Caenorhabditis elegans: one gene and its partner. The protein of the gene in region 1 interacts with the protein of each later gene in a pairwise test. Each region holds a gene or a part of one and is shown on either strand. Other genes may lie near its edges.

Region 1 (17,014 bases):
GCTAATGATGAAACACTTCTCTATCTCCTCCGTTCGACAATCAACCGTCTGCTTTTTTCTTTGGAAATCGAAAAATATTTTGACTTCATCTGTTAGTTTACCTAGGTAAAGGCAATTCCGACAATTTTGACGCTTTGTTTCAAAATGCAATTTATTTTGAATTTTGTATTCCCTCTATCAGTGTGCGGTCTATTTTAAAAGACTGTATCTCTCTTACTTCTGAAAATATAAAAAAGTTCGACTACAAAATAATAGAGTAACTTATAATGAAAATTTGAATGATATAAACTTTTTTATGCAACCAAAGGTATCCGAGATGTGATCTGTCAAAGTTCAAGTATTGCGGTGGCTGTATACGGTATGTCTGGGTTTCAATTGTTTCTAGTTTAATCAAATATGTTTAAACTGAAACCATATTAGATTATCTTGTTTTATTCCTCAAAAATTTAGTTCAGCTATTTATTATAATTTTCGGGCTTTCTAGGATTTTCAAACAGATGTTGTAGGGCCAGTGATAGTTAAGATAGTAAGTACACTTACAATAGGCATAAAAATAATATTTTGATCAAATTTAGATATCTACATTTCCGCCTTTTCCCAGATTTTATAGATTTATTTAATTTAAATCATGGTCAATCGGTAGTTTTCTGAGTTGAGCTGAACTCCCAACTCTCTCGGAGTTCAGTCAATAAAATGAAACATCTAAATTGTCTTCAAAAGAATACGATGTATTGAAAAGTTTCGAACAAGATACAATCATCAATAAAAGCCCGAAATCAATCATAAATTTGACGAAAAATCTGTCGTTAAAACAATATCATTCCATTTTTTTCAAGAATTCTTCTTCTATTTCTTTCTGCCACGAGCTTTACAATTTTGAGATTCTTTTTTTAAATATATTGTGGAATATATTTATTGAAAACTTAATGTGTTAGAATGCAAGTCTAGAAACAGAAAATAAATTCAATCAATAGAACATTTAAGATTATGAGGGTTATATTATTGTTACATTTAGAATATCTCTCATAGGTAGGTACCATGTTTCAGACGGGTGTGCCTAACTAATACCTACCTGCTACCCAAGTTTTTTATATTCAGGTGTTGGTTTAAGTACTGATCATTTCGAATAATTCATTGATAGTTCGTTCAAACGAGGAAAAAGGTTCATGTGTACTCTAGAATTAGGCTCACGAGTAGGCATGAGGCAGACTTAGGTCGCCTACGTTGCAGGCTAGTTTATTATATTTCCCCATCAAAATATTTCGTTGTTTCTCAATGTTTGCGCTATACCATTATGGATACTCTACAAAATTATTTTGAAACAAACATATTACATTATCACAGTAGTGTGCTTGTACATTTACAAACCAAAAATCTCTGAGTTATAAAAATAGCTAAATTAGAATATTAGACAGTAACTTTCCAGTCTAGAAATCAATTAGCCAATAAAAATTACACCTGAAAGCAGATATCAAAAATAATAAGACACAAGTAAATAATAATTTTAATAGTTTCCAAAAGATCTATTAAAAAGTTCAAAAAGTCCGTACTATTTTCGAAAAGTTGAATGCCTACGTGTTTCTTCAATTTCTTTTATTTTCTAAATGTTTTGACAATGAACCGTCTCTCAATCTATCCGTCAATCTTCAATGTGCAATACAGTACATGCCAACACACAACGTTTCGAAAACAAATCGTCACAGCCGAAAAAATTTCATTTTCGTATCATGTTTCGCATTTGTGCACATGTTCCCCGTTATTAAAATAATCTTTGTAGGATTTGGAAAACGAGGGAAAACGCTTACCGTAATCCACCGGGAGCATGTAATTTTGTGAAATGGGGTGGCGCGTAGCGCGGTGGTGTCACAAATGGTTTTGGGTAGATGTACCGCATTCGAAAATTATAGGGCTTCGCGTTTTGAGAGCTTTGTGTGTCCCGTTGTGATGATAGAGTAGGTCAAACGATGAAACGAGATGGGCGGCACAAAGTGCATTCTGCGTCTTATGGCGACGCCTACTCTATTACTAAAGTCGGACGGTGCCAGTCCATTAGAGCGGGAAGGACCATGCTCCACAGCAACACTTGCGCCCACTCGTCACTACGAACGCTTCTCATTCCAAAGTTTTTTTTTCGCGGAAGATCTTTGAGCATTCTGTGACGAAAAATATTTTGTGCGAGGTGCCAAAGGTGTCAAGTTTAGAAAATAACCAATTAAAGTAGATCTGAAAAAGTGAAACATTGTATTGTCCAGGTACAACTTTAAAAAGTTGTCCCTAACAACATATAAAGTATATTCCCTATTAGTATGGCCCTCCGCCAATCGACTTTTTCGGCTTATATTTCAGCGGTTTCAAAAGATTTTTGATTTTTTCAAATACCAGAGCATAACGATAGATTTGAAACAAATTTTGTCGTTTGAGTTATTGAAAAAAAAGTGATCAAAGACAACCGAGATATAAACGGTCAAAGTCGAGTGACGGGGGCCATACTGATAGGGAATATACGGTAACGCAAACGTTTATAGTTCAGTATTTTTGCCATATCTAGGTCTCGCAACGCTGCGAACGAGTTACTGTAGCTATTGTCCTTTTATGTGCATTATAATCTGTAAAATTAAATAAAAATAGGATTTAAGAATTTTTTTAATTTGTTGGGATAGCGTCAAAATTTTTGTTGTCAGTGTGGTGAGAACGCAATAGTTTTGTTACCTGGTTAATAAGTGGATATAATGCCACCTGAAGTTCCAGATTCCTGTCAGCACGAAGAACAGAAATTTATCACTTGGGCTGAGTTACGAGAAGAACAAGCCTATGTATTTCTATTTGTCTGGAAGATTTTATCTCTAGTTGTGTTTTATAGAATTTACAGGTGGATAAAGGATTATAATTTTTAAAAATTTAAACACAAAACCTCTCTGTCACAAACTCTAATTTATGTGAAAAATTTATGATTTTTGATATTATAGAAAATTGTTTCAAAAGTGAGAACTTTCATGAATCACCTGCGGTTCAAACTACTTTTTCAGGTAGTAAAATTTCTTTCAAGTACATTTTGCATATTTAAAATTCTATCCTCTTCAACTCTGTGTTCCTACATTTAATTTCCGATCTTGATTTAAAAAAGTACCTTGAATAAAATCTTGGAATTTTCAAATTCTTTAGCACGGATACCTAGTCCCCGTATCTATTTTATCCATCCACCGTATTCTTGAATTCATGAGCTTCTTCTTCTTCTGGAAATTGGGCGGAGTCGGAGTGGTCGATTCGAAGGGCGGTCTCTTGAATATGCATAACGTGTTTTCAAGCTCTCACCTCTTTTTCGGAGGAGGACCACCCGCCTCTCACTATTTTCTGATTTTTTATGCATTCGATACATATTTTTTTGGACACACCTATTCTCTCTTCATTGAAATATCGCTTTTCTTTACTTTTCAACTATATTTCATTTCCAGACTGGATTCAAGTTATACCACTCAACATGTCATCCATCTTCCCAAACTTACTACCATTCCAGCTTTTCGTGAGTCTTTTCCTTTTCGTGAGATTTTTCTTTGTACAAAAAAAGAAAATTGAATGACAGAAGAGGGTTCAATTAACGTGAGAATTGAAACGAGAAGGGGACCCCAAATGAGAAATGCACCTGTCCTAAATAGCTCCCCGCTCCCACCGTTTCCCATCTTCCTTTGTGTACATTTTCGGAAGAGTGAATCGAATCATTGAGGAAAGAAGGGACTAATTATTTTCAATAAAATCTGGGAAAATTGGAAAGCTATGTAACTATGAATACCTAATTATACAATTTAAACACTGTTGAAAGATGCATGAGAAATCGGGAGGAGGTACTAGATTTGGCATTTCCTGTAGTAAGGATTTTCTTATATATACATATATATCATAGCCTTTGATATATTTCCAGACTGTTTGTGAATTGATGGGGTCCGTCACCTAATATACTAGTCTAGATTTATCTGAAAAAAAATCTTAGGGTTACTGTAGTTGTTACCAGATTGTTTCTCCAGGCTCATGTAGAAGTGAAAAGTTGCCATATTTTGAGGGAAATCGATTGAGAAACAAAATAGCGTTTGATAGATTTTTGAAAACGGTCAAAAGATCTTCAAAGGTTTCTTAATGTGATTTCTTACTCATTTCTTACTCAGTTTTGCACGATGTATGCTCACCGAGTGTCATTTGTTCTTCTCGAATTTCATCTTCCTTTTAATTTTTCCCCTGACTTTTTGACGAGTTAACATGATTTTACCTCAAACTGAGATGAACCTACTAACAACAAGAGTTCAAAAAACTTGCACTTTTCAATTTCTGAATAACCCATCGATTTTCGAGTTATTGGGCCAGGTGTGAATTTTAAATATCATTGGAATATAGATTGCAACTCCGATTCCTTATTATAGAAGGGAAATTATAGCTCAGAATTTGGAAATGATTTTAATAAAATGAAGTAGACCCCAATCTCAGAATCCTTTTGGTCAGACTTGCTATTATTGAATGAACAATGTAAATCTTAAATCAGCTACTTCCTACCTGGTCTGATTCGATCACGTTTTTCAGAGTGATCTTTCAGTCTTCCTCAATCGTTTTCGTTTTAGATTTGTGGCGTTTCTGAAATTCGAATATTTCTGATCTCCATGCTTATCCTTCAGGCCGTTTAAATTTTCTGATGATCAAATATATTTCTGTCTGTTATTCCCGAAATAGATTTTCCGTTTTCTGACACTGAATACCTATGACCAAAAGTTTTCAAACGACAGATGGTCACTCTTCTTTTTTGAAATGCATAACTTTCTTGACTTTTGACTCTGTCACAATTTTACCTGCTCTTTTTCTTACACTCTCTTCCAACACATAATCGTTTCGATTTGGAAAGGCACACGGACTGCACGTAGAGTAAAAGAAAGAGAGAGAGAGAAACAAATACTCTTATCTCCGTTAGCTTCATCATCATCTCTATTTCTCTTTTCTACAATAGTTATGGTGTTCCTGTTTCCTGTTTCTTATGTAAAACTGTTAATTTCATAATTTTTGAAATTTCAAGTACTATGACTCGCTATCAAATATGAACAGTGCAACTGATAGGAGTTCCCTCTGACTTCGCTACCCTTCAACTTTTTTATTATTATTTTCATATGTTTTTACACACACATGCACACGTTTTTGTGATGGTGCGAACGATTGGAAACATTCAATTCTCCTCCTTTTCCCCCTGCCACACGACTTTTATGAGTCATTTGACAATCGAATGTCACTTCAAAGCAATAAGAAACAACAGAAAAGAAGGCACTAAGAGACATCTGATGCTTTTAACGTTTTCTAGAATTATTCGATTCTTCAAAAATTGAAGGATTGGCATAGTTGGCACTGAAATTTATGATGCTCTTGAGTCTTAAAAAACTTGAACTTCACTGTTTAATCAGCTACTTTGAACTCCTTTCAGTCATTTTTTAAGCTTGCGTAATAACAGCAACTCCTATGTTTTAGGTTGCACTTTTTTCTGGTATTACTGTAACTTAATACTTATCACATTTCTAATAATAAAAATTCACTCGAATTACCACAACTGTAAGCTGAATGTTTGTGACCCCCTTCTGTTCGCATTGAGGTGCGGTCCCGTTACTTAATTATAGCTCATCCACCTAACCACAGAATCTTCTTTACCTTGGCTCCTTTCAAGGTTTCTCGGCATCTGCTTGATCATGTAACCTACATTTTCATTCAACCTTCAAGCTTTTTTCTCGATGAAACAGGCAAATCACCTGTTCTCAAGAAGAGCCAACAAGTGTTCCTCTCTTTTGTAAAAGTCGTCCAACCCAGGCAGTCAGTCAGCAACAAATGAAATGAACAAAACGGGTTTCGAGACTACGGGAAGGAAGAAGAAACTGTGGGTGACTATGTCTAAGTCTCTTGATCGGTTGCCACTCTTTCTCAAAGGCTGACACGCTCCCGGGGACAGGCAAATGTGTGAGAGAGGTAGATGCAGAGAGTGTTTCACAAAACATACACAATCGTCGTCTTCTTTTCTCGGGGAGGTCTTGACTTTAGACACTATTTTCCTCCGCTCACTCTTTAACCTACCAACAGTTCCCAAAATGAGACAACATGCCCTTGGCTCCGCTCCGAGAGCACACTGTTGCCTTTTCTAGTGAAGTGAACTTGCGCCATCCTGCAGCAGCTTTCCGTTGATGGCCAACTTGAGCACCGCCAATCTAGATCATTTTGTTCCAACATCCATTCTATCTTTTCAATTTATTTTCTGAAAATCTAAAAGCATATCAGTTTTTATCAATTACCTCGGGCCTAAATAATTTTTTCAAAGTTTAAGCTAACACATCTAAATGTAAATGCGCTACAACTTAATTATTTGTAAAAACTCCGGATCTCCTCGCTCACTCCAGAATGTAAAAAAAAGAAAAATTGAAAGTGTGTAGGTATACCATACGCATGCATTACTCTTGAATTTTTCGAAGTATATGATTTAGCATTATGCCAAGAAAGATTGGCTATGGTAGACTGACTGCTTCCAATTTTCAAGCTGAAAGCTTTTCTAAACCTTATTTCTCCAACATATAATTTCTAATTTTTATTATGATTTTGTTTCAAACCTCACATTTATATTTTTAGTTTGAACTTACAACATCTACACCAATTGTTTTAACCCTAAAATCTATATTTTCCCAGACGGAAATAATGTTTAACCTAGAGAAGTGTGCACATGATTGACACGAACATGACTTTTTTACTGTCTTTTTCTTACGTTTCTCCCGTTTTCTTCTCTCCGTCTCTTTCCATTTTCTTATCACTACCATAATTTTGAAAATCCATTTTATCAAACGTGCTCCATTGAATATGAAGGATATGTATGACGTCATCACTTAATATTAGTCACCACTTGATTCTTGACGTCTTCGTCTTATTCTTCTAATGGCATGATGATAGGAAATGGTTTGAAGTACTTCTACTTCTACCTTATTACCAAATTGGATTAGTTACAGTATGAATGGTTTATGTTATCTTGTGTTTTCCTCCTTTACACTTTCAATTAATATGTTTGTTGTTTTCGCTAGAGTATTTTTTGTCTGAAAAAAAAAACAAATGGAGCATCAGCAAAAAGTGAGAAAATAATAGAGTTCGCATCTCGAGACGACAAGACGTCATTTCTTTGACGTGGATTGATTTGAAAATTAGAGAACTAGTGATAAGAGAGAAAGAAGCATCCGACCGCGTGATGACCTGAATTGATGAGAGATAATGGAAAGGTGTCGACGATTGATGAGTCTGGATTTAAATTCTGATCTTTTGTCAATTTAATATTTATTGATAAATTAGCTAGTCTGAAAAAGTGAAGTAAATGTATTTTACTTTACAAAATTTTTTTGCAGTTGTTCCATAACTTGAAAAAATTGATAGGGTTGTATGTATTGCACCAGTAAAAATATATATTTGCAGCAGACTTTTTTGCGGACTGCATAATTTGATAATTTATTTCAGAGCAGAATTAACATAATTATGAGCATGTTGGTTTTCTCTAAAGTAGTCTAGATTTCGGTTTTGGTGAAGAGGTGAAATTGAGTGGAGAAATTGTAAACATCAATTTGGGAATTTACCAAAACTCTTTACCGCGACAAAAAATTCAGAATTTGAATATACCTCCATGGAAGCGATTATATTGTGCAATTATAATTGTGTAATATATCCTCTTTACCTTCTTCATGCTTATCCCCAATTTCCTCCCTCTCTCTTCTCACCTCATTCCGTTGATTAAAGAACCAATTGAACGCCCGCAGGCTTCGTTGTGGGTAATACAGTAATGTGATAGATTGTATGCCTGCCTATGCACATACACAAGTATGTGCTCTACCATTGCATATTCTGAGCTCTCCTCATTTTATACACTCTTCACAAATATCCACTCCATTAGAAAACCATCTGTCCGTTTGTGTCCCCAACCGGGAGCGCGAGGGGTGGATTGACCGTAGAAGGGACTGCCATCTGCATTTCTTCACTTCCCCCCTTTTCTCCAGCATACCATTCCATTATTTCCTCGATTCGTGCCCCGTCTCTATTCTTCTTCGATTTTACCGGTAATTCCTTGTTGTACATATTTGTAGAATGCATTATATACTTTTCCAGACTACCGTATTCCCTCGCGTACCCAGTTCTTATTTCAAAGATTATGAACTCAATGTTTTGTTCAGAGTTGCAACAAGCGCTGCCGCAGGTGATATATTTTAACCTGTTTTCATTCAAATATTCTGATGAAAAGCACGATGTCTTAGTCAGCCGATTCTAGAAGTTTTTATATTCCACGTTGCAGTTTACCTATAGAACGTGACAATATGTCACATGAACAAACTGGTTCTATTGATTTGATAGGAAGTTTGATTTTTTTTTTGAAATAAGGTTTTAGTTGCAAAAACAACTTAAAGTGAAATTTGTATGTATTTAGAAAATAAAAACTTGAAAAATATGTAAATATTTTCTTTGTTTTTGTCAGCACTTAACTGAAAAAAAACCACAAACCGTAAATGAGGTGTCCCATTTGTCCTTGTTCAGATAACTAACCATACTCCTCCAATTACCAATTTATCCGAATTAGCGCCCCACACACTCCTCCACATCCACACTATCTTTCGCTTTTGATTACTTTTTTCGGTAATATCTGTCAAGGTGGCTGGGTTCGTCGTCGTAGTCCTGTACTGTTTCGTCGAGAAGGTCACCATATTGGGGGAAGAAGTAAGAGACTGTCTTTTGGCGCAATATCACTGTTGTGTAGATCGCCTAGTTTCTTGTCTCGAATAACATGAAATGATAGACAGAGTTCCCTATGACACTCTAAGTCTCGAGGTTCTTATCACTTTATCGATTAGTTGAACAGCTGGCTGTCTCCTATCATCATATATCCACCTTGTTTTCTTTCCGCCTTCATGACTCTTTTCTTCCTGAAGCATCCCTTCAAACAATTCTCTATTTTCTCTGTATCCAATGACTCAATATTCTCAAATCTCAACCTAATTTGAATAACTGACAACAGTAAAAAGACCTCCGAATGCAAAAGCAGGAGTAATTAACCTAGGAAGAAGCAACCAGGGATAGTCAATCAAAATGAGATGACATAGATCTCGAGTTGACATGTTTTTTGAACCAATCTCGGAATATTTGCATAATTAGTAGTAGTATTCCCATAAGAGCAGATTTGTAAATATTATAATAAGTTGCTTGCAGATGGTTGGTAGTAAATTTTATTTTACTGCAAGTGAATATTTATTTCCAAATGTGTTAATATTTTTTTAGTTAAAAAATTTTATACATATTTTTGAGAAAGTTGTTTTCGAAGTTTTGATACTGTTTTATTGCAAATAAAAGTCGGAATTGCTCCAAATTTTTAAACAAAACTTTAGTATTTTAAAAAATTTAGAAAAATACCACATGTTTGCTCTTCTACAATATTGAAATACATAATTAAATCATATAATTTGTAGTAAAAATTAATTATTTTTCGGCCGACTTACAAAATTGTGGATTGCAAAAATAGAGAAATCGCCACTTGTTTAAAACGGAGTTTTTAATTAATGTACATTATGTTGATTGATGAGGTTTCAGTGAAATTTTTAAATTAAAAAAAAACACTGATTAATTACTTTACCTATTATGAAATAGAAAACAATATAAAAATGTCAAAGCTCATAATGCACCAAATAATTTTACCAACCTAGACTACCTGCCCAAAATACAGTTTGCCCTCAATTCTTTTTAGGATAATCTCTTTTAGAAGTTAAGTCTACAACATGATTATAACGACTTCACGGTACTGATCACTCTCTTTTCTCTGAATCCATACTTCCAACCCGCCGTTCCTTCTTCATCATTTTCCATTCGTTTTCCTCCGTCTCTTTTATCTTTTTCTCATCTCTTTTCGTTTGTCGATCTGGACGATCCGATGCGTCATCCTTAACGCTTCTCTTATTTCTTTTCTTCATCTCCTTCTTGAAAGTGTCTATCATTTTTTTTCTACTTTATTTCCTGATTCCATCATATCTCCTATGTGTTCATTAAGTATCACTAATTATTCCATTAGTCCCTTTCCCACCTGCCATCCATCTTCGAGGTTTTCCTTGTTTAGTCTGGTTTATTTGTTTAACAAAAAAAAAGCGTGTTGGAAAAATGCGAAACCGTCTGCGTTCGCTAGTTTGAAAAATTTTAACAGAAACTTCCAATGTTGAGTTGGATTTAACAAGTTAGATCTCAAAAATATTTTTCAAAAAATCTAGAAAATTCGGCTTGAAAAAATTGCTTTAAAATCCGGAATAAATGGAAAAATTCCGCCATAATTGTTTTCATCGACAAAGATTGATTTATGGAAATTCAAAATTTGAAAAAATATTTTTTAAACTGTTTTCAAAAGATAACTGAGTAACAATTCTGAAAAATCTTACAAAATTGGTTGCCATGACAACAACCTCTACAAAAAACAAATGACCTCAGCTTCTACATTTCTTCTGCATATTCCAATTATTTATTTTATTTCACATTTGACATGACCGTCTGAAATGAAACAATGAAGACGTTGGTCTTTTCTTTTCTCTTTCTTTTCCCACCCTGAAAACCACGAACATACATTTTTCAGTTCAGACGTTTTTTCTGCAATTGCATTAAGCATTGATGATGATTCAGCATTCACAATCATCGATTTTTCCTCCTTGTTGATTTGATTTTGTCCGTTTTTTTCTGCTCCCACAGAAAAAAAACGCACAACAGTTACCTGTCTTCTTATCAATTTCCTTTTACGTGCCTATTCCTCTTCTCTACCTATCACATGACCAAACTTTCAGTACCCCGGACATAAATGCCACGTCACACTTTAGACATTATCACATTTTTCTCATCTTTTAAGCAAAAGCTCTCAATCTCTAAGGTCTATGCTCTTCAGTTAGAGATCGTAATTTTAGATACCGAACACGGGGTGAAAACCGAAAAACTAAACTCTTTTAGCTCAAGATTTTTTCCATATCTTCTCTTGCCTGCCATTCACTTTTTTGATGGATTACGGTAGATTTCGTTCAACTTTTTTGCATTTCAGATGTCGGAAGACGTAGCAGTCACGGCGCAAACAATTCTCAATGGGTAAGTTGAATTTTGTTGGGCAGGGCGGAGTCAGAAGGTGTCAGAATATGAATAGATGAATAGAACTAAAGTGTCCCATCATTGCAGAACCCCGCCCCATAATCATTTTCGAAAAGAGTGGCTCGCTGGAGCAGCAGGAACGACAACGCCCACGACGACCTCTGGCGGACAAATGATGACGGTTTGTGATAAAACAATTTTTTTTTCGAGTTCTTCCCATTGAGATTTTATTGACTTAAAATCTTTTGATGAAAAAAAAGTTTATCACAATTTTTAAAAGCTAGAAATTTATGCCATTAAAATATGATTTAAAAAAAAATCATAAGTGAAAACTAGAGAACAGTGATTGATTTTGCAAAATATCTGAAATACTTTTCAAAACAAAAACTATTTCAAATCTTATATTTTAGAATTGGAATATACATACAGTATTTCATCTAATTGTCTTGCACCTCATTGCTCAAGTTTGAAGCCTTTTAGCGTTCTTTGAGCTCAAGTTTCAACCCCTTCTGATACCAGCTTCAAATTCCCAATCAGACACTTCTTTATCCTAAAACATGGATTTCAGCTCTCCCCTCCCGCCGGTGACGGACCAGGTTCCGCTGGCTCAATGGCTCCCGAATCGACTTCTTCCCTTTCCGACTTGTCTGGTGACGCGGAAGGTGTGTGGAGTATAGACATTGATCAAGCATTTCAAGAAGCGTTAGCCATCTATCCACCTTGTGGACGAAGGAAAATTATCATCAGTGACGAAGGGAAAATGTATGGTGAGTGAACTGTCTATACATAATTGGAGTCATACAAGTGGTAGAAGAATGAATACATTCACATTACTGTGCATCTGCCTTCATTGAACATCTGCCCATATCCATGGGATAGAAACTTCTTTTCCATTTGACTTTTCTTTCTAATATTTATTATTATTATGATGTAAACGGATTGAACCGGCAGACAGAAACCGACAAAAGAAGAGAGTAGAAGGTACTACGGGATTAGTAGAGACCATCTTTCCATCCTTTCCGTGCCACTTCTCCATATTCCTTGTATTTGTTTATTTTCGCTGCGGGAAACCACGGGCGGCTCTTTCTCTCTCTAAGTCTTGACTTTTTGACCCTCCCGCGCAACCAAAATCAACAAATCGTTAGATTAGATGTTGGAACATAGTTTGTTAGGAAAATGTGATTAGGGGGTTACCGAAGTATCCCAAAGTATCACGTTTTCAGCTGTCGGTTAAAGTATTTAAAATTTAAAATTGAAATTAGATTTCAAATTTTATTTTAAAATAGAAAAACCTCTGGAAATTTTAAAATAAAAACTAAAATTATCAGAATTATAAATATTGAGGAATATCAGAAACGTAGCGTGTCTGTAACTGCTCTCGCTGGACTTTGTGCTCTGCCACGTCATAAAACACGAATACTGTCTGCGCAGTGCCCGGCAGTAACAAACAAAAAGAGTTTGCACATTTGTTTGATTTTCAAAAAAAAAGAAACCTTTTTCCACAATGATGACAACTAAAAGTTACACAGACGCTGTTTTGAGACTACTGTAGAACAGCAATTTTGTTAGACTTCTTAACAATGCCCGTTACTACGGTTATCAGTTTGATCCGCTTTTATTTCGTAAAAATTACCGGAAAACATAATGTTATCAGAGAAAATTCCATAGTCTTTACTCACTTAATTTATGTGATAAATTTGGGTGGGGTGATAATTGATACGCAAATATAATTAAGAGGGTTCAAGTTTTCAATACAGTATTTTTTAAAAATAATCTTGATCTCCCTATTAGTCTAGCCAATTAAATAATAGTCCTATAGAAAAATACAGAATTTAATCTTAAATTTTAACAATTTCCACTTTGATTCGTGAAATCTTTTTTTAACATAGAATCTTTCAAGTCGACGTCACCCTTATTTTAGTTATTCCATCGTCAGACCTGAATTTTTCACCTGTTCGTTACCTGATTATTTCTTCCTCCTCCCACATTCTGATTTCATTATGAGCAACATTCATTTACTTGTTTGAATTTTATATGTATATATATTTTCAGGAAGGAACGAACTAATCGCTAGGTATATCAAATTGCGATGTGGAAAAACGAGGACTCGGAAACAAGTGTCATCACATATTCAAGTACTTGCTAGGAAAAAGCTCAGAGACGAACAAGCAAAAAAGAAGGTACCTTTTCATCTGAATACGGTAGTTTAATTTACTATATGTCTAACTGAAATTCATATTGAAAACTTTTCAGGGTGATATTCCCAGTCTTCTTCAACAAGCTTCACCTCCAGGAGGAGTTAAATCTCCATCAGCTGTAGTATTTCCGCCTGTTTCCGCAGCTGTCGCTGCAATCACTGAAATTTCTCCACAAAGTAGCTACTCATCAATTGTGCCAAAAGTGGAAACCGATCAAATCTCCCAACAACTATTTAAATGTTAGTTTTTTATGCGATACAATTATTGCATCAAACTAATTTTCTCATGTTTCCAGCTCTTCCTTTGTGGTCATTCCAACAAACTCCTGGATTACCTATCGGAATGGATCTATCACAACTTGTTTTCCAACAATCCTCTCCCGACAAAACAGTTTCACCTGTGAAATCAGAAGTTGTAGAAGAAACGAAACCAATCGCTTCTTCACAATTAACACTTCACAGCTTCTCCGCATATGTCAAATGTAATAAGACAAGTTTAAGGACAGAACTCGTGAAGATTGAGAATACACTGGAAAAAGATGATATTGACATTTCTGTATTTTACGAAAAATATCCGAAATTACTTCGAGAATTGTTCGAGAAATCCGAGAAAAAGGATGTCTTCTTCCTTGCAAAGTGTTGGGCAAATATTAATGTTTCGGATGATGTACAGTAAGTTATATTGAATGTGATTGATAATTAGTTTTGACTCAAAGAAAACCTTTTAGAAACTGTCAATACGCAGTCGACTCGTTCTACTCAAGTCGTGAAAAATTCCAATTAAAGGTCTCAACAATGGCTTGCTCATTTGGAAACCAGGCAGTTGAAAAAATAGAGGTACGAATATTATGAGCTAAGCGGCAATGTACAATCGGTTGATTTTTCAGCAATACTTCCCAATCGAATTCGATGGATCATATTCGTTCATATTGAACAACTCCCCAATGTGTGACTATATGGTTAAGTTCATTGCCGAGCTGAAGAAGCTGAATGTAATAGAAACAATGAACAACGTGCTGGAGAATTTTACAGTTTTACAGGTAAGAATATTTGAAAATATTTAACCTATTCAGAGAGTTTGTCAGCGGCCATTTCTCCACCTCTAAAAATTCACAAAAACTTAAATCAAAGTTGAAAAATAGCTCTAGAAAATTTTGAAAAGTTTCATTTGTTTCATTAGAATTGAATAAATAATATGCACATTAATGAATAATATACTTTTTAAGTCGCTTTCAAAAATGTTCTCCGACTGAAAGCTTAAAATTCTGAACAATGTTTGAACAGTGTTATAATTTTTTAATTAGTTTTCTAACACATTCTGGGGTTTTAAAGAAAAGGAATACGGGGTTCTAATTTAACAAAAAAAAACTGAGGAAAAACTGGAAAGTACACATAATGAAAAGCATAATAATTTTCAGATTGTCACAAACAGCGAAACTGATGAATTATTAATGGTTCTCTGTTTTGTATTTGAAGTATCACAAGAACCAGAGCCATCATGTTCTGTCTACAGGCTAATCGATGGAGGAGGCGATTCTGATGAATGAATTTTGAAAAATCTCTTCCCACACTGCCATATTTTTTGTTTTTTTCTTAATTTATACACTCATTCATTCCTTTTCTTCGTTTTCTCCTTCTCTTCAAAAATCGGTCACACGAATTCATTTGAATTTCATTTGAAAAATAATAATAATATGTTCCAGTCATTCCCATTTTCTTATTTTCTCCATGTTTACCTGAATACTCAAAACCCAATTTCCCGTGATTTATTTTTGTACTTTTTTTCGTCTCATCATGTGCAACCAGAAGAAAACTCGTCGAGCTTCTCATATTTCTTGGAAATTCACAGAATCCATCAAAAAGTCTACAGTGTCTAGTACGAGTTGTTCTTTAATTTCTAATCCCTCACATTCATCCCCACACTTCTCCCTTTCAGATTCAGTTCCCCCCAATACTTGCAACCTCTTCTCCACACCTTCCACAAAATCTCAATTCTCGATTTTTTCAACCCAAGTTTCCGATTTGATTCAGTTCTGTTAGGCTCTTAGGTGTGTTTTGTTTCATTTTCTGTATTCTATTTTTGGACTTGTTTTCCCTTTAATTATCAGTTATTGAAAAAATGCATCAGATACCTAAACTTTTCAATTTTTTTAAAAACGTTTTGGGAGCAACTGGATTTTCAGAAAGAAACGTTTCATCAAAGCAACAGAAGACCCCGACAAAACGAAAGGCGGAGCTGCGATATTATAAACAATGGCACTGTACCGCGCGAGGTCATTCCAAATCTCAATCACTTTCCATAGAATGTCTGCTCCATCTCCTTCACCTTCTATTTCAAGATTAAATTCAAATTCAGATGAAACTTTCCGTATTGTGGTAAACTATCTGGTAACTTCGAACAAACTTGAGGAAACACGTGTCAAGTACACCAGAATTATTGATTCTCTAGTCCTGCAAATGGACTGCCTGAACTTGATTGCCACTTTGACAAAGACAAATCTTGTCGTCTTGCTAGTGATCAAGTATATTCTTAAATATTTAGAGAATTTGAAGAAGAATACCATTATCTCGCTGAGAAATGTCGAGGCTAAAATCGAAAAAAAGATGAAAATTCAGAAAAGACGAGCTCAAATGATGTTCCAACATGTAAGTTTCGGTAGACCCTTTTATTTTTGAAATGTTTGATTATTTAAACTTTAGAACGGCATCACTCCAATGAGTGACATTACTAAAAGATTGGAATTCAATAAGAACAATTGAAAATCAATCAGGACAACCTTTTGTGCCTTGGAGGGCCTAATCGTTCATTTCTCTGTTATCGCATACTTTAATGTTTCTTCGATTTGTTAATTTCTAAAATTATTGTTTTAACTTTTGAAATATATACATAGTAATGATTTGTTATACGGCTCTATCTTTTTTTGTTTGTTACTTATATTCCATTTTTATTCAAAGTTCAATGAACACATTTTATTTGGGATTTGACAAAAGCATTTTCAAATTTGTGAACCACCCGGTTGCCATGGCAGAAAAACAGAAGCAAAGCTTAAGGTTTTGAATATATAAATATAAATATTCATATTTTCTATTTCATCTTTTCTATTTCGATATGCGTCAGATCGTCTTTTGAACATTTCCGCAATTTGTTTATAACATATGACCTTTCCGTTACCGTAATTTTACGGTTAGCCAGCTGCTGAATGAATTGTAAAAACTGATTTCCGTTGATTTGGTGTGGTGGACAAATTTTTTTTTCAATAAACAGTTTCACCAAAAAATATGTTGGAAGAATGTGAATCAGAGCTGTGTGACAAATCTTTTCGGCAAAAGTGCAGAACTGCTGATTTCAAGATTATAATCCAACTTGTTGAATCAGAAAATTAAACTAAATTGAATGAATACATTTTCTCGTCTATGTTATGCAATTCATTTTAGATGAGAAGTTCAAAAAAAGCCTCAAGTGGTGCCCGAAAATGGCCTTTTGCCGTTAAAATTTTTTCGGCAAACGGCAACTTTCAGACACTATATGAGGTTTTCTAAAAAAAAATAAAACAAAAATAAATACTATTATTATATCTTGAAAAATTGGCATACATTTTCATATTAATTCTTAATTCAAAAAGTTGGTTGTTCATACTGAAATTTTTGCAAAAAAAATTTGTCGCACAGCCCTGAAAATCACTA
Region 2 (17,014 bases), on another chromosome or scaffold:
CCGTTCGTCACTAAAATTGATACCAAATATGGAAATTTATTTATATTACTAATTCCAGTGCACAAATCTGCCGATCATTGTCCTTCCACTAGTCAATATAATGCTTCTTCGAAGATATCTTCATGATGTGAACGGTGGTTTGATTTTCCCTCAGTTGTTACTCACTTTCAATGGATTAGCTTCAACATATTATCATGCAACTCTCAACTTATTTGGTAAGTTGATAGTAGTTTGCTCTTCTTACTAAATACTTTTTTCTCAAGGTCAACTTGTCGATGAACTGTCATTAGTTTGGATTATAACAGTGTTCCTTGTCGTCTACATTCCAGTTATGAAATGGTTCCCAGAGAAGTTCTCAAAAAGATTGTGAGTTTAGATATTTGTGAGCTTTTGCACTTTTAAATTTCTAGAACTCTCGTCCGATGGGTTGTTCTAATTGTAACAGCTCTCGTATCTGGTCTCTGCTTCCTTGAACCAAATCTCAATGCAATCGCTTTGATGCTGTTTTCCATTCCAGCTGCTGTAGTGATAAACTATGAAGGAAAACAGTAAGATTTCAAATTTGACTGTTTGAATGAAAATAAAAATTTTCAGGTCTGGAATCCCAGACATCGAGTCATTTCCAAGTCGAATTCTTGCACTTTGGGGAGTTGCATTTTCCTTCTGGTTTGCTGATCGTCTTCTCTGCGATTTTTGGCTTTATTTGGGTGAGTGATTGGTATACTGAATTTTTTGAAAAAAACTGAGGTACTTCACATTTAATAAGACCAAATTTCAAATATCTAGTGATAAGTTGTTTCAAATATTGGGCAGTATCTACTGTTAGTTTCAAATGCTAGTTGAATAATATAAATCTTTCTTTTCCAATAAAAAACGTTAAATTTGTTCGATTTTGAGAACTATTTCGCATTGTTTTACCTAGAAAAGTTTTGCTCCAGTGAACTTAGCTTCAACAAACTTTTTTCAAAACTTCGGTTAAAGGTTCGCAAGATAACCTTTGTAATGATCGGGCAAAGATAGTAAAATTAAATATACAGTTTTTCAAAACCAATTTTGCAATTCAGTGTTAGGTAAGTTTTTGCAATTGATGTTTCCAGGAACCCCATACCTCCATGCTCTGTTCCATTTGCTCGCCGGACTTGCCGGCTACACAATTTTCATCATGTTCTCGATGATTGATATTGAGAGCAGAACGAAAACTCACAAATACACAGCCGCAGTCCGTTATTTTCCGGGCAAGAACGGCTCGATCTTCTCGTTCCCGTACATTTCGCTCAAAGAACGTTCTCAGTGAGTATATATGGCATATCCCTCTGTTAGAATTCCATCAAACTAACGGAGGGAAAATTGTATTTGTAACGCATTCTACACAGGAAGAAAAATGCATGCCTGTGTACCTACAAGAGTGCCTGGTAGGCATTATTGAGCCTGCGTAGAAGCCTTAGTCTATGCCCTTTTAGTTTTATCCATGTACTGTCCAGTTTTTGTTTTGTGTCGTTTGTGCAATGTATTTGTGAACGTGAATCTGTGTTGATAAATGGTTTTTTGTGATATATTTTTTAAAATATACTGTTTCTAAAATCTTTAAAATTTTTCAGCAAAGTAGCAGTGCCAGTTTTTGATACAAATGGAAACTCAACAACTGTCACGGATGATATCCCAACTTGATAGTTTTTTATTAGATAATAGTTAAAAATTCATTTTATAATGTTTTATAATTTTTTTCCCAATGTTTTTACAAAAGCTCTTTAGCTTTAATTCCTCACATTTCGTTTCCATTTCTCATTTCTTCCCGTTGTCTGTCTATAGAGTTTTTTTGACCAGTTGTTTTTCTCCAAATTGCCATAAATAAGTCAACAAGTGTTTTGTTTTATAGAGAGTATCTAGATCAAACCATGAAACTTATAACTAATTGCATGGGAAGATTCAGAGATTCAGAGAAGGTGAGAAATAGAATAAGATCTTGTTTTCCTCAAGTCCAAGCAATCCAAAACTTGTTCAGTCAATCCTATTCAACGAATCCTTCATTTCACATCTATATTTGCTTTCGATTCATACCGTCATGCCGTGTCCATGTGGTCAGTTTTTATGCCTAAATACTTGTATTATATTAGGAGTTTATCTATGACAGACCAGGTGTTTTTAGTTAGTTTAAAAATTTGTTTTTTAAACTTAAAATTGAAATATTCAAATTAAAATAGTAAGGAAAAGTGAGAAAATTGTGAAATTGTAACAATAAATTCAGTGATAATAGAGATTCTTTCAATTTTTTAATTCTACAAAATTTCACAAACAAAAGCCTCGAATTTATTGAATTTGTATAGGGCACTTCAGTTTGTCAGGTACGTCTTCAGGCGAACATGCCTGTCTTCCCACATATTTTTAAATTTTAATTGGAACAGTGTAAAATCTTACAGTTTTCAGTTTCTCATAGGTAAGTTGCTCTGAAAAACATTCAGAAACAAATGTTGTGCCTCAGCAATGATTTTGAATAATTTCATAATCTAAAAATATAGAGTCAAGTAAAAAAAAACATGAAAATGAAAAATAATTCAAACCTTAAAATAACAAAGAAATATTTCAAATCCAGCAATCTTTCTAAATTACTATTTTGTAATTTTTTCATGAAAATATAAAACGAAAATTATAATTTCTTGGCAAATGCTCTTTTACTACCTCATCTTTTACTACGTTGCTCTTTTACTACGGTTTACTCTTTTACTACGGCCGTATTTTTTACTACGTTTTCCAATTTCGATCTTTTACTACAATTTGTATCTTTTACTACGGCCGTATTTTTTACTACGTTTTCCAATTTCGATCTTTTGCTACAGTTTGTATCTTTTACTACGATTAACGATTTTTTACGGCCTAATGAAAAAAAAAAGAATATCAAAAGTTGGAATTTGAAAGTTACCTTGTAGCAGATTTCAGGTATAATTACAATTTCATTCTGAAATCAACATGAAAGTTTCATAGTTGTGTTCTTTTTCCAACTTTTGAAATATACTACTGTCTGAGCGGTTTTTAACTGAATCCGACGATATCATAACGGGAAAATGAAATTTATGAAAATTTTCCAAACAAAACTATTTTGAAACTTTATTAAGCACTAATCAGTTATTGTAGAAAAATTCTAAACCTGTTGTTTTTGAAAACATTCATGTCAACTTTGTAATTTGGCATAATATTAAGAAACTCGGCAAGTAGGGCTCTATATACTCACATATCTTTTCGGGCAGAGGGAATGTGAAAAATTGATCAATCGCAAACTTGTAAGCTTAAGATAAGGAACACTTTTCCCGTGCAAACTATTTGAAAAAAAAATCTGAATGGATCCAGATTCGAACCAGCAATGACTCTACTGAAGAGCGCGCGCTTTACCACTTCTCCAAACAGGCGAGTGGCGGCCGCGGTTCCAAGGTATATGTGAAACCAACCGAGCTGTACGAAGTAGGAAGCTTCCATTACTTTTTCAGATATTTAGTTCTGAAAACTTTGTTAACTCTCCTTATCAACAACTAAATGGCCCTTTTTGTAGTTATTTCTACTGGAAAAAAATGTGCCTGTAAATAATATCCTGTTTATAAACGTTGTTGTCCAGTGAAAACATTCCCTTGACCTGAAATTTATCGATAAAAGATAAATTTATCTTGAAAACTACTTTTTCGAGTGTATTTTTAAACATTCTACAAATTCCACTTAATAGCAGGTCGGGAACTTCGGCGATTCCTCGAATAAGCTATTTTCAAAAAAAAAATTAGGCCCAAAATTTGTTTCTGAAAAACGACCCCAATCTTGTATTTTCCAGTAATAAATACAATCTGAATTTTTTTCGAAATTATTTTTCGCATCGAAATTGGAAAACGTAGTAAAAAATACGGCCGTAGTAAAAGAGTAAACCGTAGTAAAAGAGCAACGTAGTAAAAGATGAGGTAGTAAAAGAGCATTTGCCTAATTTCTTTTATTTTTCACATTATATGTCCAGTTAAAAAAAAAGAACTCTGAGAAATAAATTTTGAAAATCAGGTAAAAAAAGTTAGATGTTTCAGACGTCACCTTGTTGTTAATATGGTCTCTCATATGATTGGTGACATCAGAATTTTTAACTTGGAATTGAACATTTTAATTCTTGATTTATTATTTTCAAGATTTAATTTTAAGTTTTAAAAATAGATTTTTTTTTCAAAAAAAAAACAAGGTTGTAAAAATTGTTAAAACTGGAAACATCTTTTAGCTATTTTTATTTTAGCCTGCAAGAATTGCTCCTGTGGAGAAACGTGTAAGTGTACCGTCGAAAAATGTTGCTGCGAGGAAGAGAAAAAATCGTGCTGTGAAGGAAAAACCGAGAAGACTGAGCAAAAGAAATAACCAATGAGCAAGTGAACTTTTCCCACGTCTACTACTAAATTATTGTCGATCTATAATTCTTTCGCTTATCAATCTTGTCAATTGAAATAAAACAATATTTTTCTAATTCTTTTTGGAACGAACACACGTGTTTAAATGAATGTTGTGCTAAAAACGTCACATCAATGGTACGTGAATGTTGCAAACACCTTGTCAATAACTGATAAAATCAGAAACTAGAGCTGTGACTGAATCGTATACTAGAACGGAGTCTCTCTAAAAACGTTCTAAAAACAAACAAAAAATTGTGCAAAGGATTAGAGTGCTCAAGATCAATGAGCAAACTCACAATCAACTATCTGTTATTGTTTTGGGTCTCTTCTATATCTCTATTCTTTTAGTATCATAAGTTTGTACATTGTGACAGGGCCACCCTCTTTTATCACATATTTGAAGTGGTAAACAGCCAGCAAAAACCAAATAAAAAGGCAGTGAGAAAAAGAAGAAGGCAGCTCAATTTGACTGCTGAAATTAAGAAATCATGGCTTGCAAGTGTGGTGAGTTAATCTATACTTTATAGATTTCAAAAACAATTGTGACACGTTTAAAATGGTTTTGAGAATAGCAGGCAAATCAACAAGCTTTCTAAATTTTTCTTAAAGTCAAAACTTTTCCAGACTGCAAAAACAAGCAATGCAAGTGCGGAGACAAATGTGAATGCAGTGGAGACAAGTGTTGTGAGAAGTACTGCTGTGAGGAGGCCAGTGAGAAAAAATGCTGTCCAGCTGGATGTAAGGGAGACTGCAAGTGTGCAAACTGTCATTGTGCAGAGCAGAAGCAGTGCGGAGACAAGACCCATCAACACCAGGGAACTGCTGCGGCTCATTAAAATGTTTCAGAGTTGAATCTGAAAATACCACAATTCCTACTAAACTGTGAACATCCTACTAAATTGTAATTACCTCCGAGATTTATGTAAACTAATAAATGTGTATATTACTTGTATCTGCCAAATCAAAAAATTATAATTTAATTGAATCAGGATAAATGCATGTGATGAAAGTTTATGCTTTCAGACAACTTTCTTATAAATAAATACATTTCGTTAAAGATTACGAGCAACTTCTTTAAAGGCAAAATTTTCAAAGTTAAAAAAACTGCCTCAGGTTGTGCCTACGTTTAACCGAAGTTTTATCCAACTCTTGCCAAACTCTTACTCAAGATTAAACTGACATAATAAAGGTTTTGGTCAGATTTGTGATGAGATTTGGCGAAATCCTTAAAGTATTACTAAACTTTTGCCAAATTTAAATACAAGATGATTATTGGGCAAGATCTGACAGTCCTATAAGTATTAGGTATAACTTTCAGTGAATCAAGTTCTAATTATGCAAGATTATTCATTGTATTATTATATTATAAATTCATATATTAGAATTATCAACAATAGACAGTTTTTTTATAAGATAAAAAGAACCTAGCGAAAAATTCGAAAAAGAGCACGATAAGTTTCGAAAAAAACACAGCACAAATCTTTTTTTTTGATAAATGGTTGAAAAGTCTGAGTTCCGTTTTTTCAAAGAAAATTAAAATGTTTAAAAAAATGTTCGTTTTTAAGAGCTTTTAAAAGTTGTTTTACAGTTTTCCGGTCCCCAATTATTCCGTCAATTCATAGTTGGACAATCGCTTGAAACGACGAACATCGAAATATATTCAATTGGGTTAACCCCGACTATGAAACCCTGTAAAAATAAAAAAACCAACAGAAACATATTGATGATTCATAATTGAACAACTTTTAAAAATCATAATGTCCGATTGTCATAAAAATGCTGAATTGCCTGTTCAAAAACCGCATTGAATGTTTGATTTCAAATTGTTTATTTAGAAAGAAAAATCAAAAAGTACAGACTGTTAAAATAACAGAACATCACCAAAAACAATGATAGAAAAGGAAGAGTTTTGTATCAACGGAACAAACAGATTAGTGTCGCTCACGACACTGGTCACTCATCGTTTTTCTGACCTTTCCGTTCCAGAAGACCTTCATTTTTCGATTCTGATTTGTAATCCCAGTTCGCCAAACTTTATGATCTACGACGCCGTGATTTTTTCGCGCAGTAGTTATCATTGATTTGTGATTGGGTCGATTGGGGACTTGTTCTTTACAAATTGTCATGTAATCAAAAAAATGAATGATAGAAGGGTAGGTGGAGACAAAGAATATGCGAGACAGGTCAAAAAATTATTAGATCTTTTGTGTTGACTTGACTCGTAATTTTAAAAGACTTGTCAACTTTAACTTGAATTCTAAAAGCTAAATTTGTTTTAACACTTTTCGGCTTTAGATAGTACCTTTTCATGACAATGTATTTTACCAACTATAATATTTTGAATACCACCTCCCTGATATTTTAATAAATTTAAATTTGAGTTACATCAACTGATGACAAAATTTCAAAGATTGAGTCTTATCCAATGTTTCCATTTTCACTACTTTATTGGTGGCATTTTTATTGAAGCATTTATATATTTTTAACCATATTATTGAACACGGATTAGCCAATCTAACTAAATTGATTTTTTCCGGATTTCTGACCATCCGATTCCTATTTTTGTGTTATGTATTATACGATGGTTTTTTTCAAACAATTTCATAAGTTTTCTTTTTCAAAAAACATCGAAATTTGAAAACTATGAACGCTCAAAAACCGGAAGTCCGGTTTGCCACCCATATATCCAACAAATATATTTTTTCTGTTTTCAATAATGTTTAAAACTCACTTTAAAGTCATTGACATATATTTCAGTAATCATTGCTCACATATAAGTTCGGCTGGCTGAATATTTTATGTTCGTTACACCAAATTGATCAAAAAAATATTAAAACTTCTCACCAACAAAACAGTTAATCTAACTGTGATCCAATCCAATAAACACGTCTCGTTCTTCAGTAGAGGGATCACACAGTTTCAAACATTCACCTCGTAATACTCAAAACGTTCACTTTTGATGACAATTGCCACCGAATTTTTTTTTGGCTTTTTGAACTTTTAAATGAAGTCTGAAAATGTTCACTTTCAAACCGAAATTTTCAAGATTAAAAATATAAACGTAATTTCCAATTTCCCCATTTCCGTTTCCATATTCAAATCTCTACGTCATTTTGTGTTCTAACTTTGTTTCACTGGTTCTAGTCAATGGTGCACTTCCAATTAGTGAACATCTCATTATCAGTAGACAAAAAAACATCATTAGATTTTTGAGTCTCTTCTTAAAAATCGTTTTCTGTCTATTTATCTTTGCTTGGTTAGTCCCCTTCTTTCTGTTCAATATGAGTTCTTCTTATTTCTAATTTTGTCGTTTTTAAATTTCATATGATAAATTTTCCTTTAACATCCTATTTGCAAGAAGTTGTAATTGTTTTTACTCAACTAAACAAAATATTCCAAATACAGTAAGTTTTTTAAGATAAATAATAAACTAATCAGCTAAAAATTGGCTTCAAAATATTCCAAAATACGCCGAATATTCTCGATTTGTCTTCCTATAAAGTAACTGTATATAAAATCTCCACAAGTGACAGTGCACTTGTATTTTTCATTCTCAAAATTATTTTTAAATTCTCTATTTTTTGGAAAAATATTTGACAAATGTATTATACCTGTGTCTCAAGAAAAGCCCAAAGAACAACAATTAGATCTTTTTGAACTTTTCCTCCTCTTTTTTCCATGTTTAGTCTCCATGTGTTCTTTTTCTCTCCCACATTTCTCACCTAACCTGACTCATCTCTCCACCCCTTTTTCTACATATTTTGCATTTGATGACTATTTTTTCGATACATATAAACGATTCGATCCATTCATTTTATATCAATTCAGTGCAACAATGAGCATAATCTCAAACAAGTACAGAGTTCTTGTTGTATTTATTGGATTTTTATGCCTGGTTTCCGTTTGCTCCAATTATGTGGTTATGAACTTTACATTTATTTGCATGAAAAATGATATGAGCTTTACAAGAGATGATCGGGGAAATGAGGTGAGTATTTTGTTAGCGATTAAATTTTTGAAAAAGTTGAAAGCTTCCAGACCTCCCCAGTCAGTTTATTCGATTACACGCCCAACGAGAAAAAATACATAATGTGGGCTGTTGCTGCGGGTACAATTATTGGAACTTTTCCGGTAAACTACGTGTTTGTCCGGTTTGGAGGAAGGTAAATCTATTGGAAATTGCATACCGTAACAATAGTTTGGAATACATAAATTTCGTTAGGTTGTTGGGTGAAAAAGTATGAAAGAATTTCCTAGATTTTTTCCCATTAAATAATTTAGGGCAAAGTAGGCTCCAAAATAAAGTTCTTTATGCTTTAGAAAAAAAAATAAGATTAAGCATTATTTTTTTATGTTCTTTAGGTGGACATTCTTCTTAGCTGGAGTCATCTCGGTCATCGCTACAACATTGATCCCACTGGCCGCGCAGACGTCGTTTCACGCACTTCTTGCCGCGCGGTTTTGTCAGGTTTGTGTTGTTTTCTTGTGAATCACTTTTGATGATATGATAAGCTTTGTGACCTCCAATCTTTGCAGGGACTTGCATTTGCGGCAGACTTTGCGGCGATTGGCTTGTTAACTGTCAGATGGGCCCCACTATCTGAAACTGCAATTTTTCTTGGTGCACTTACTTCGTTTACCAATTTCTCATCGGTTTTAACAAATGCAGTGTCTGGAGCGGTAATTCTCAATAACTTAAGAGTTTGTTCAAGTTTATAATATGTTCAGATATGTGAAGGATTTGGTTGGAGGACCGCTTTCTACGCACATGCCGTAATGGGATCAGTTTTCTTCATACTTTGGGCTATTGTGTACAATGATGATCCAGAAAAGAAAGTTTCCGCTGATGAGCTGAGGAAAATTCGAAAAAACAAGTCGGAACAGCATTTGAAAACTAAAAATGTTGAAGTACCGTACAGGGTTAGTTTTCAAAATAAAATGAGCTCAAAAAACCCAAAAACGCTTCTGTAAATTCGAAACCGGAAATAATTTGAAAATTTTCACTTACTTCTATTATATAACGACATAAATCTAGAATATTTAAAATACATTAGTTGTTTTTATCATAAAATAAACCATTCGATTCCAGAAACTTCTTACATCTCCAATTGTTCTTTGCGTTTGGTTGAATGCGTTCGCCGAAATGTCGATCATTGTATTCTTGCACACCTACGCACCAATATTCTTCAATCGAATTTTAAAGTTCAGTGTCGCTCAAACTGGATTCCTTCTTGCACTTTCAGTATTCATTCCACTTCCATTAAAACTTGTTGGTGGAATTATCAGTGACAAGGCGAAGTAAGTTATTCGAACTTTGAGGTCATGCATCACAAATCTGTTTTCTTGCCAGATGTTTCTCGGAACGCGGAAAAATGTTGTTCTTCAATACGATTTCAGTAGGACTCGTTGGTGTCTTGCTAGGATGTCTTGGGTTCATTCCTCAATCGTTGCACTATGTTTCAGTTGTTCTTTTTTCCGTGATCTTTTCATGTTTATGTCTGAACGTGGCAGGATTCTACAAATGTGCGACATTACACACTAGGTACCGCCAAACTTTGAAACTGGAATAATTTATTTTTCACAGACAATTCGCTCACGTCGTTATTTCTACAATTCAATGGATGAAATCAGTGGCGCTAATCACTGGACCAGCTCTAGTTGCAGCTATTGTAAAAAATGAAGAAAGTGTTGGTCAGTGGAGAACAGTTTTGTGCATTCTTGGAGGTATTATGTTTGTGGTGAGTTTCAGCAATAAATATTTTGAAAATAATGACATTCAAAAAAAGTTGACAATAGTTCGTTTTTTTAATTCAAATTAATGGCATGGTTCGGTAACAATTGAAAAATTTCTGCAAAAGGGTTTGTATCATATTGCAAAAATTTTCCGAAGGTCCTTATTCAAAGCAAAATTTTAGAAGAAGTAAGTAGCTAGCGTAGTTTGAGTAGCCAGTAACCAGTAGCCAGTGGAGAAATTTATGAAAGCCACTCCCGTGGTGCCAAAATGACCAAATATCATAGTAAAACATATTTTTTGAAAATTTTATTTTGTTCAAAAAGTGGTAATTTATTACTCAGTTTTTGCCACTTTTTCGGAATATTGAAAACATTTTAAATGCAAAACTTTCACCTTTCAATGTCATCTTTGTAGGATAAAACACTATCTTTCAGGCAAACATCCTTGCTCTTTGTGTGTTTACTGACAAACCAGCGGAATATACAATGGCAGATGCTAATGAAAAAACTGTCAAATATGAGGTGAACGCTGAGGAGCCTTGATGATTTTTGCCAGAAATGTTACGCTCAATTTCATTTTGTTTTACTTCTATTGATCGCAAGTTGTCCCATTTCTACATTTATTCTTTAATCTGTCATCTCATTGTTGTCCTATTTCAGAGTCAATTTTCAGACTCAAACCATCCTGAATTTCACTTAATTCCCAACTGATTACGTGTATCTACTGCCCGTTTGTTCCCTACTGCATTCCAATTTTTGCAATGAACACATTATTGGTTCGAGCACATCTCTCTTGATGCATAAACGTGTCCATCTGCCCGTTCGGCCACTAAAACATCTGCTTTTCGACTCCTAGTGCCTTTCGTACCCGCTCAATTCACCATACCATGACATTTGCATGTCTTCTCTTCTCTTTTCATTTTACTCCCCCCTCTCATTTGGACATTCGGACACACTACCACAAACTGTCCCTCTCTATTGAAATGCGGCAAGCACAGGAAACACGGTCGTAAAAAAGCATAGACGCTCTGCGAAAGCTATGAACACATACATATCTTCGAGTCATTTGAACGTTCATGGTGCTTTCGCAAATTATATAGAAATTTATGGGTTATGGGAAAGGAGTACTTGTAAAATAGTGAAGAATTATCTTAAACAAGACACAAAAACTAGAAATAAGGAGCATGTTTAAAGTGTTAAAAATCAGCTTGGGGAACAATTTTCGACAGTCATATACACTAGATACTGATAGTAGGATAACTTTCATTATATTTTCAGAGTCATCCGAAATGCGATCTCGGGGATCTGCAAAAAAATCTTGGCCGTCTTGGTTGCATTCAGATTTATATAAATTTATTAATAAACAATTTTTCTCAACTTGATGTTATCATTACTCTGAAAATTGTGCAATGAGCTGGAAGAATTGGGAAAGCTGAAACAAAAAAATCTTAAAATTTTCATCATTTGTTGTCTGAAACTGTTGCGGTTTCCAAGTCGAACTTTTCAAACCACACAACTTCCTATAAAGTACCCAAAAGTCGTCACCCTATAGTACTTTCAAACTTACAAATTTCAGTTACCCTTACATGAAATGTGATATTTTTATCCATTCCCAAATGAGCTCAACACCGGAAGTTTTGTCATTATACAATGTCTGACCCAGTTTGTCCGGTCATTCATCCACGTATTACGAACACCTGTCCTCCATTGCTCCAATGTGTATCAGTCTCGTGTGTTTGACCCATAACACGTCCACTTATCCTTAGCCCACTTAATTACCTCACCATAATACCAATGCATGGCACCAATGAATTGGATTGTAATTACACGAGAGAGGCATTTAGTTTCGCGCACTGTTCGGCCGGCCGGAGCAGGTGGCGTCTTCCAATGACCCGGTCACACTTATCCTTTCCAGATGTTTTCCTTCCGTTTTTGGTCACCCCTTCAGTCTTCTCACTATTGAAATCCGCCTTCGGAACGTTCGCCTCTCGGATTTGGCATTAAATGGCAGCTCAGTTCACGCCAGATGCAAGATGAAATGAAAAGTGCGCGAGACGTCGGTCGGACATAGTTCTTTAATCCGAACTAATTGGTTGATGGTATCTATCTACACCTTGTGAAAGGGTACTTTATTAGATTTGAGAATTATGAAATTTGTGTCTTCAATGAACAAAAGATTCAGGAATACACGGGGAAGCCGATTTTGGTGTGAATTCGATGGGAGGTTGAATGGTAACAAGATTAAGATTTGAAGAACATTGTTTGCAAAATGCGTGATTCAAGATTTGAAATTTGAATATTTCCTTTACTGTGATTTTTGAAATTTCGACAAGACCGAAAAAAAATGTAAAGGTGTACTGTAGTGTCATTATAGCTCAATATAGAATCTAGGTCATTTTGAGGTGAGAATCTCAATCTGAAACCCAGGAGTGTAAAACTTCATTATCTGTTTTCCCAAACGCTGAGTTTACAATCAAACTCACCGCCCTTATTGGTAAATTTCTACCGTTCCCGAGCTAATTTAAAATCACCGAACGTATTCCCTTGTTCAATTCAATACTATAAAATTCAATCCCAACAGAAGGTAGTGGTGATGTTTACCAGACAGGTTGTTGGGGGCGACATGTAACAATATTATAAGCTAGAACATGTCACCCATATATCTCGGTGCCAATTTTGTCATCTATTATTCATTGTTTGTCTCCCCGGGTACGCATGTATGTGTGTCAGCAGGTCCCTCTCTACCCAAAAGCTCTTCAATGCACAAACACACCTCTATTCCAGAGGATTTTTGATTGACACTTCATTTCGGTGCTCTCGGTGCTCTCAAATGCATTTAAAATCGGGAAATCGTGTTGCAGATTGTTGTTTACTTCTTTACTCACTTTATCTTCTAACACGCTTTGATCCCCATGGGTTTACCGTAATTGGATGGATGAAAAGATTGACCCGGACAAGCCGGGACAGGAGCATCTGCTCCCACCTCGGATAACCCTCACTTTTCGCAGTCCTAATTGGCATGTTACAAATTCTCGAACAGGTGTCGATTTCCGTGAGGAGGCGGAAGATGAACGATGATGGGTACCAGGACCCATCGATTTGTTATTTTTGTGACGACAGACCCAACGACAGATGCAAGTAGTACAGTATATGCAAATCGAAATGATACGGCTGTTTGCCAAGGGCACGTACAGATGGTCTGCCTGCTGCATGGGCACAACATCTAGACTGATTGATTATCTTTTAGGTATTCACGAACATGCGACTAATTGGGCCATAAGCATGCAGCTGACAGACGGTAGATGAATTAATGTTGCGGACTTTTAGGTAATAAATTACTGATAAATATACCCTCAGCTTGAGATAAATTATTTTGGATATAGGGCTAGCTCTTGCAACTTTGTATATTCTCACAATAATATTCCAAATGTGGCCAAAATTGAGGTCTCTAGGTAGTACATTTATCGTCGTACAGTTTGATTTTCTGTACAGATTAAAAATTTAACCACGATTCAAACTCAAACTATTTCGTATGCTTCTGCTCAATGCTAAGATAACTGATTATGGCATTCACAACACAATGCACATATTCCCTCACTTCAGTCTTTGCTCAAATTCAACTTTGCGAGGCACCCATCAAAAAACCTGTTCATCAAAGAGTCCCATCATCTCGCCAAACGTTTCCATAGCAACAAATCGGAACACTAAACGCGCGCCTGGCACGGTCACTGTCGGTGTCATCAACCCATGGCACTGCGTTCCTTTTTTAATGCACTGCTCACTTTTTAATTTATGCTCATCTTCTCTTCCGTGAGCACTTCTAAACGCGGCTCGTCCCAAGAGACACCAGGAGACACCTGCCCGTGTTGCTACCAAATATGGAAAAGTGATTGACTTGGAAGAGGAGATGTGCTACAAGTGGTAAACAATTTGGGCGATTGAAAGTATAAAAGAAAGAGGAGGTGGAATAAACGTCCGCTAATTGACGCCTTCTTATTACGCGTGGAATTATACAACTGTTCGTAACACATATTGTTCGCCAATTAGGCGAGTACACCTGGTTTACAGGCAAAATAAGATTTATGGGAGCAAGGATAATTGTAGATCATAAAAATACATACCGTTATAAAATTACTGATATTTGTATCAAATATATTTGTACAGACTTATAGACTCTTTAGATTCTTTCCAGTGATTCTCTGAATTTAAAATATTATTTTTGCGGCAGTGGGGAAATTGTTAAAAACCACTCTTATGGTGCCAAAATTAGCAGATATTATAGTGCAACTTTTCAATTTTTTTTTGTTGTTTTTTTCACTTTTTGGAAGTCGTCGATCAAAAACAATTATACCTTCGAATTTTATAGTTTACTTATGTTTAAAATTAATATTTATCAAGCACTGAGAGGAATTCGAACATGCGGCATTGCTATAGTTTTCTCGAAAAGTGGCAAAAACTTAGTAATTGCCACTTTTCAAATGCCAATAAAAATTTCATTGATAAAATCTCAATCCAAAGAATTTCTGTGGAAGGAAAAATTCAACAGTGAACACAAATAAAATTTCACAATAGGTTACGAAATGCCCAATTTCAAGCTATTGAGAATTCATCAGTTGTTTTACTGAGATTTTCCCTTTTTCTTCTATCCCTCAAAAGTTACACAACTCAAAAATCGAATTTCTAGATTTCGTCACTCATCTATCAAATTTACCCATTGACAATCTTTATTTTTGACGAAAAAAACATTGAAATTTCCAATTTCACAAAATCTCGACCCAATTTCCATGTTAATTGCTCACTCGCTCCCCTTCTTGTAAGGTGTCTTCGGGGCGGAGACTCGGGAGCAGCAGCTGCCAGCCTTGTGCCTTCTCCCATATAAAAGGAGGTTAGTGTGTACGTGCCACGGTCAATTGAGGACACCAGACGGTCAGAGTCAGACACCTTTTCTTTTTTCGTTCACATCTACCGTAACCCATATCTTTTTTCGATCCATTTTATATCGTTTTGATTTCAGAAGGCCATGGTGCCTATGAATGACTTTTGGGTCAAAGCAATATTATCATCGACGAATCCGAGTCCAGTGCCGTCTACAACATCTACCGTATCCAATGATGAAAATTTGGATAAAACGTTGGACTTTGACTGTTCCACGCAAACAGTGTTCCCTACACTTCCAATGTTCTGGAACCCAACGCTAGTTCAACAGATGCTTGCGCTCTACCAGATCCAGCAGCAGCAAATTCAGTTCAGCGCGAAGCTGGCACCTCAACCGGTTAGTGATAGGTGTGTCTTATCTAGACATTGATACCTTTTTTCTTAATTGAAAGATCAAAAATTTATACCAACTTCTACCTGTTCTACTGATGACTATAGGGGAATGTGATTTTCACTGCAAATAAGGCGATCATAGTATTCATAATAAGTTCTCCAGATCACTTGACACTATTATGTTCTTGAGGTATCTAAAAATGTGTTCTAAAAAATTGTTTTCAGCTTTTCCAAGAACCGACCATCCAAAAAGAGTTTCTCCCATTCCCCCATCAATCTCGAAAACGTCCTCTACCGATAGACCCGAAAAAGACAAAGCTTCGAAAACTGAATGAAGACACTGTGACCAGTTCTCCAGTCAGCGGTATGTTCATAAAGGTGAGTAAAGCTATCGGCTCTTTCTAAGCTTCTCCTTCTTTCCTCTATGAGCAAAAACAATTCGGCACCGATTGTCTTAATTAGACGTGATTAGCATATGAGAGCTTTTGAAAACGAAGGCACATAAGAGGTGCCGGAAAGCGGTGCGGCGCAGAAAAAAGAAGGAGCAAAAGCTTGGGTTAATTACCACCCGCTGACCAGCGACCGTCTGCCACTTTTGTCTTGCGGCATTCTCTGACAACCGTCTCAGATTGAGCGCTCGCTTGATTTATTGCTAATGACACCGAGAAAACGAACGGATAATAATATTTTTGTTGCAGGAGGAGGCGGATGTGAAATCTGTGGAGGAGCTCCAAAAAGAAGCTGATTTGCTCGATGAGACAGCAGCATATGTAGAGGTTGGTTAGATTTGTTTAATTGAGATTCAACAATTACCGGATTCAAATTAACAAATTCCAAGCATATTGTTTTCATTCCAGGTCACCGAGGAGTCAAGACAAAAGATTGACGAGATTCCAAATGTCATTGGAGACTGTATCTGCCGGCTGTGCAAGGTGAAATACGAGGACGTGTTCAAGCTGGCACAACACAAATGTCCAAGAATTGCTCACGAGGAATACAAATGTCCGGATTGTGACAAGGTTTGTTGATTCTTTGGATTATTGCTTCTGATCAGAAGTTCTAGATAACAGGAAGCAAATTTACTTCAGACTACAAAACTTTCAAGAATTCTGATAGATTAGTCATAGAACCCAAAAACGAAAGGTTGAATACTATAGTACTCCTATACTCATTACTCCCACCTGTCAAGCTCATCTATATCACTTACTTGACTACCCTTGTATCGTCATAAGAGTCAGCAAACCATCTTAATCCCTCTCGCCACTTGACAAAACAGTAATCCAGTGCTCTTCACGAGTCGGGTTCCCTTGGCTTTTTCTATTTATCGACACCCCCTGCTGCGAGCCGGCTTCTTTCAGTACCAACCAGCTGGTCCATGATTCTCAGCTTTCTCTCTCCCTCTATCTGTTCTTTACAAACAAACACACAATTTGCTCCATTTTTGCAGGTGTTCTCATGTCCGGCCAATTTGGCATCACATCGTCGTTGGCACAAACCCCGTAATGAGCTCGGTGGCTCTCCACCCGCACAATCCTCAACAATTGTCTCCTGCTCCACCTGCTTCAACTCATTTCCAACAAAGAAGATGCTCAAGCTGCACTCGTCGACGT

The links.
Region 2: the proteins of egl-44 (region 1) and egl-46 interact in a two-hybrid assay, tested with the Caenorhabditis elegans proteins (2 studies listed by BioGRID).

The regions. Positions count from the first base shown.
Region 1 is NC_003280.10:5,925,352-5,942,365, forward strand, and holds egl-44 (TEA domain-containing protein), read left to right. Parts: upstream 1-8,185; coding exon 8,186-8,230; intron 8,231-11,089; coding exon 11,090-11,133; intron 11,134-11,220; coding exon 11,221-11,314; intron 11,315-11,565; exon of another isoform or gene 11,566-11,586; intron 11,587-11,695; exon of another isoform or gene 11,696-11,701; coding exon 11,702-11,900; intron 11,901-13,185; coding exon 13,186-13,334; intron 13,335-13,386; coding exon 13,387-13,570; intron 13,571-13,626; coding exon 13,627-14,002; intron 14,003-14,058; coding exon 14,059-14,167; intron 14,168-14,217; coding exon 14,218-14,370; intron 14,371-14,748; coding exon 14,749-14,877; downstream 14,878-17,014. Other genes in the region: F28B12.6 (uncharacterized protein), read left to right, coding at 15,584-15,976, 16,031-16,090. UniProt on the Caenorhabditis elegans protein: Transcription factor. Binds to DNA sequence motif 5'-CATNNNNAAATGCAT-3' as a heterodimer with egl-46.
Region 2 is NC_003283.11:6,679,710-6,696,723, reverse strand, and holds the start of egl-46 (Transcription factor egl-46), read left to right. Parts: upstream 1-15,150; 5' UTR 15,151-15,156; coding exon 15,157-15,408; intron 15,409-15,629; coding exon 15,630-15,782; intron 15,783-15,829; exon of another isoform or gene 15,830-16,038; intron 16,039-16,102; coding exon 16,103-16,180; intron 16,181-16,261; coding exon 16,262-16,423; intron 16,424-16,851; coding exon 16,852-17,014. Other genes in the region: W02F12.2 (Alkaline ceramidase), read left to right, coding at 59-215, 264-366, 411-548, 595-707, 1,098-1,294; W02F12.8 (Metallothionein), read left to right, coding at 2,063-2,078, 4,253-4,371; mtl-1 (Metallothionein-1), read left to right, coding at 4,892-4,907, 5,028-5,239; K11G9.5 (Major facilitator superfamily (MFS) profile domain-containing protein), read left to right, coding at 8,239-8,391, 8,442-8,566, 8,766-8,871, 8,940-9,083, 9,132-9,323, 9,493-9,701, 9,754-9,945, 9,988-10,141 and 1 more. UniProt on the Caenorhabditis elegans protein: Transcription factor. Represses expression of genes involved in differentiation of touch receptor neurons (TRN), probably acting as a heterodimer with egl-44, perhaps by occupying similar cis-regulatory elements as an unc-86/mec-3 heterodimer.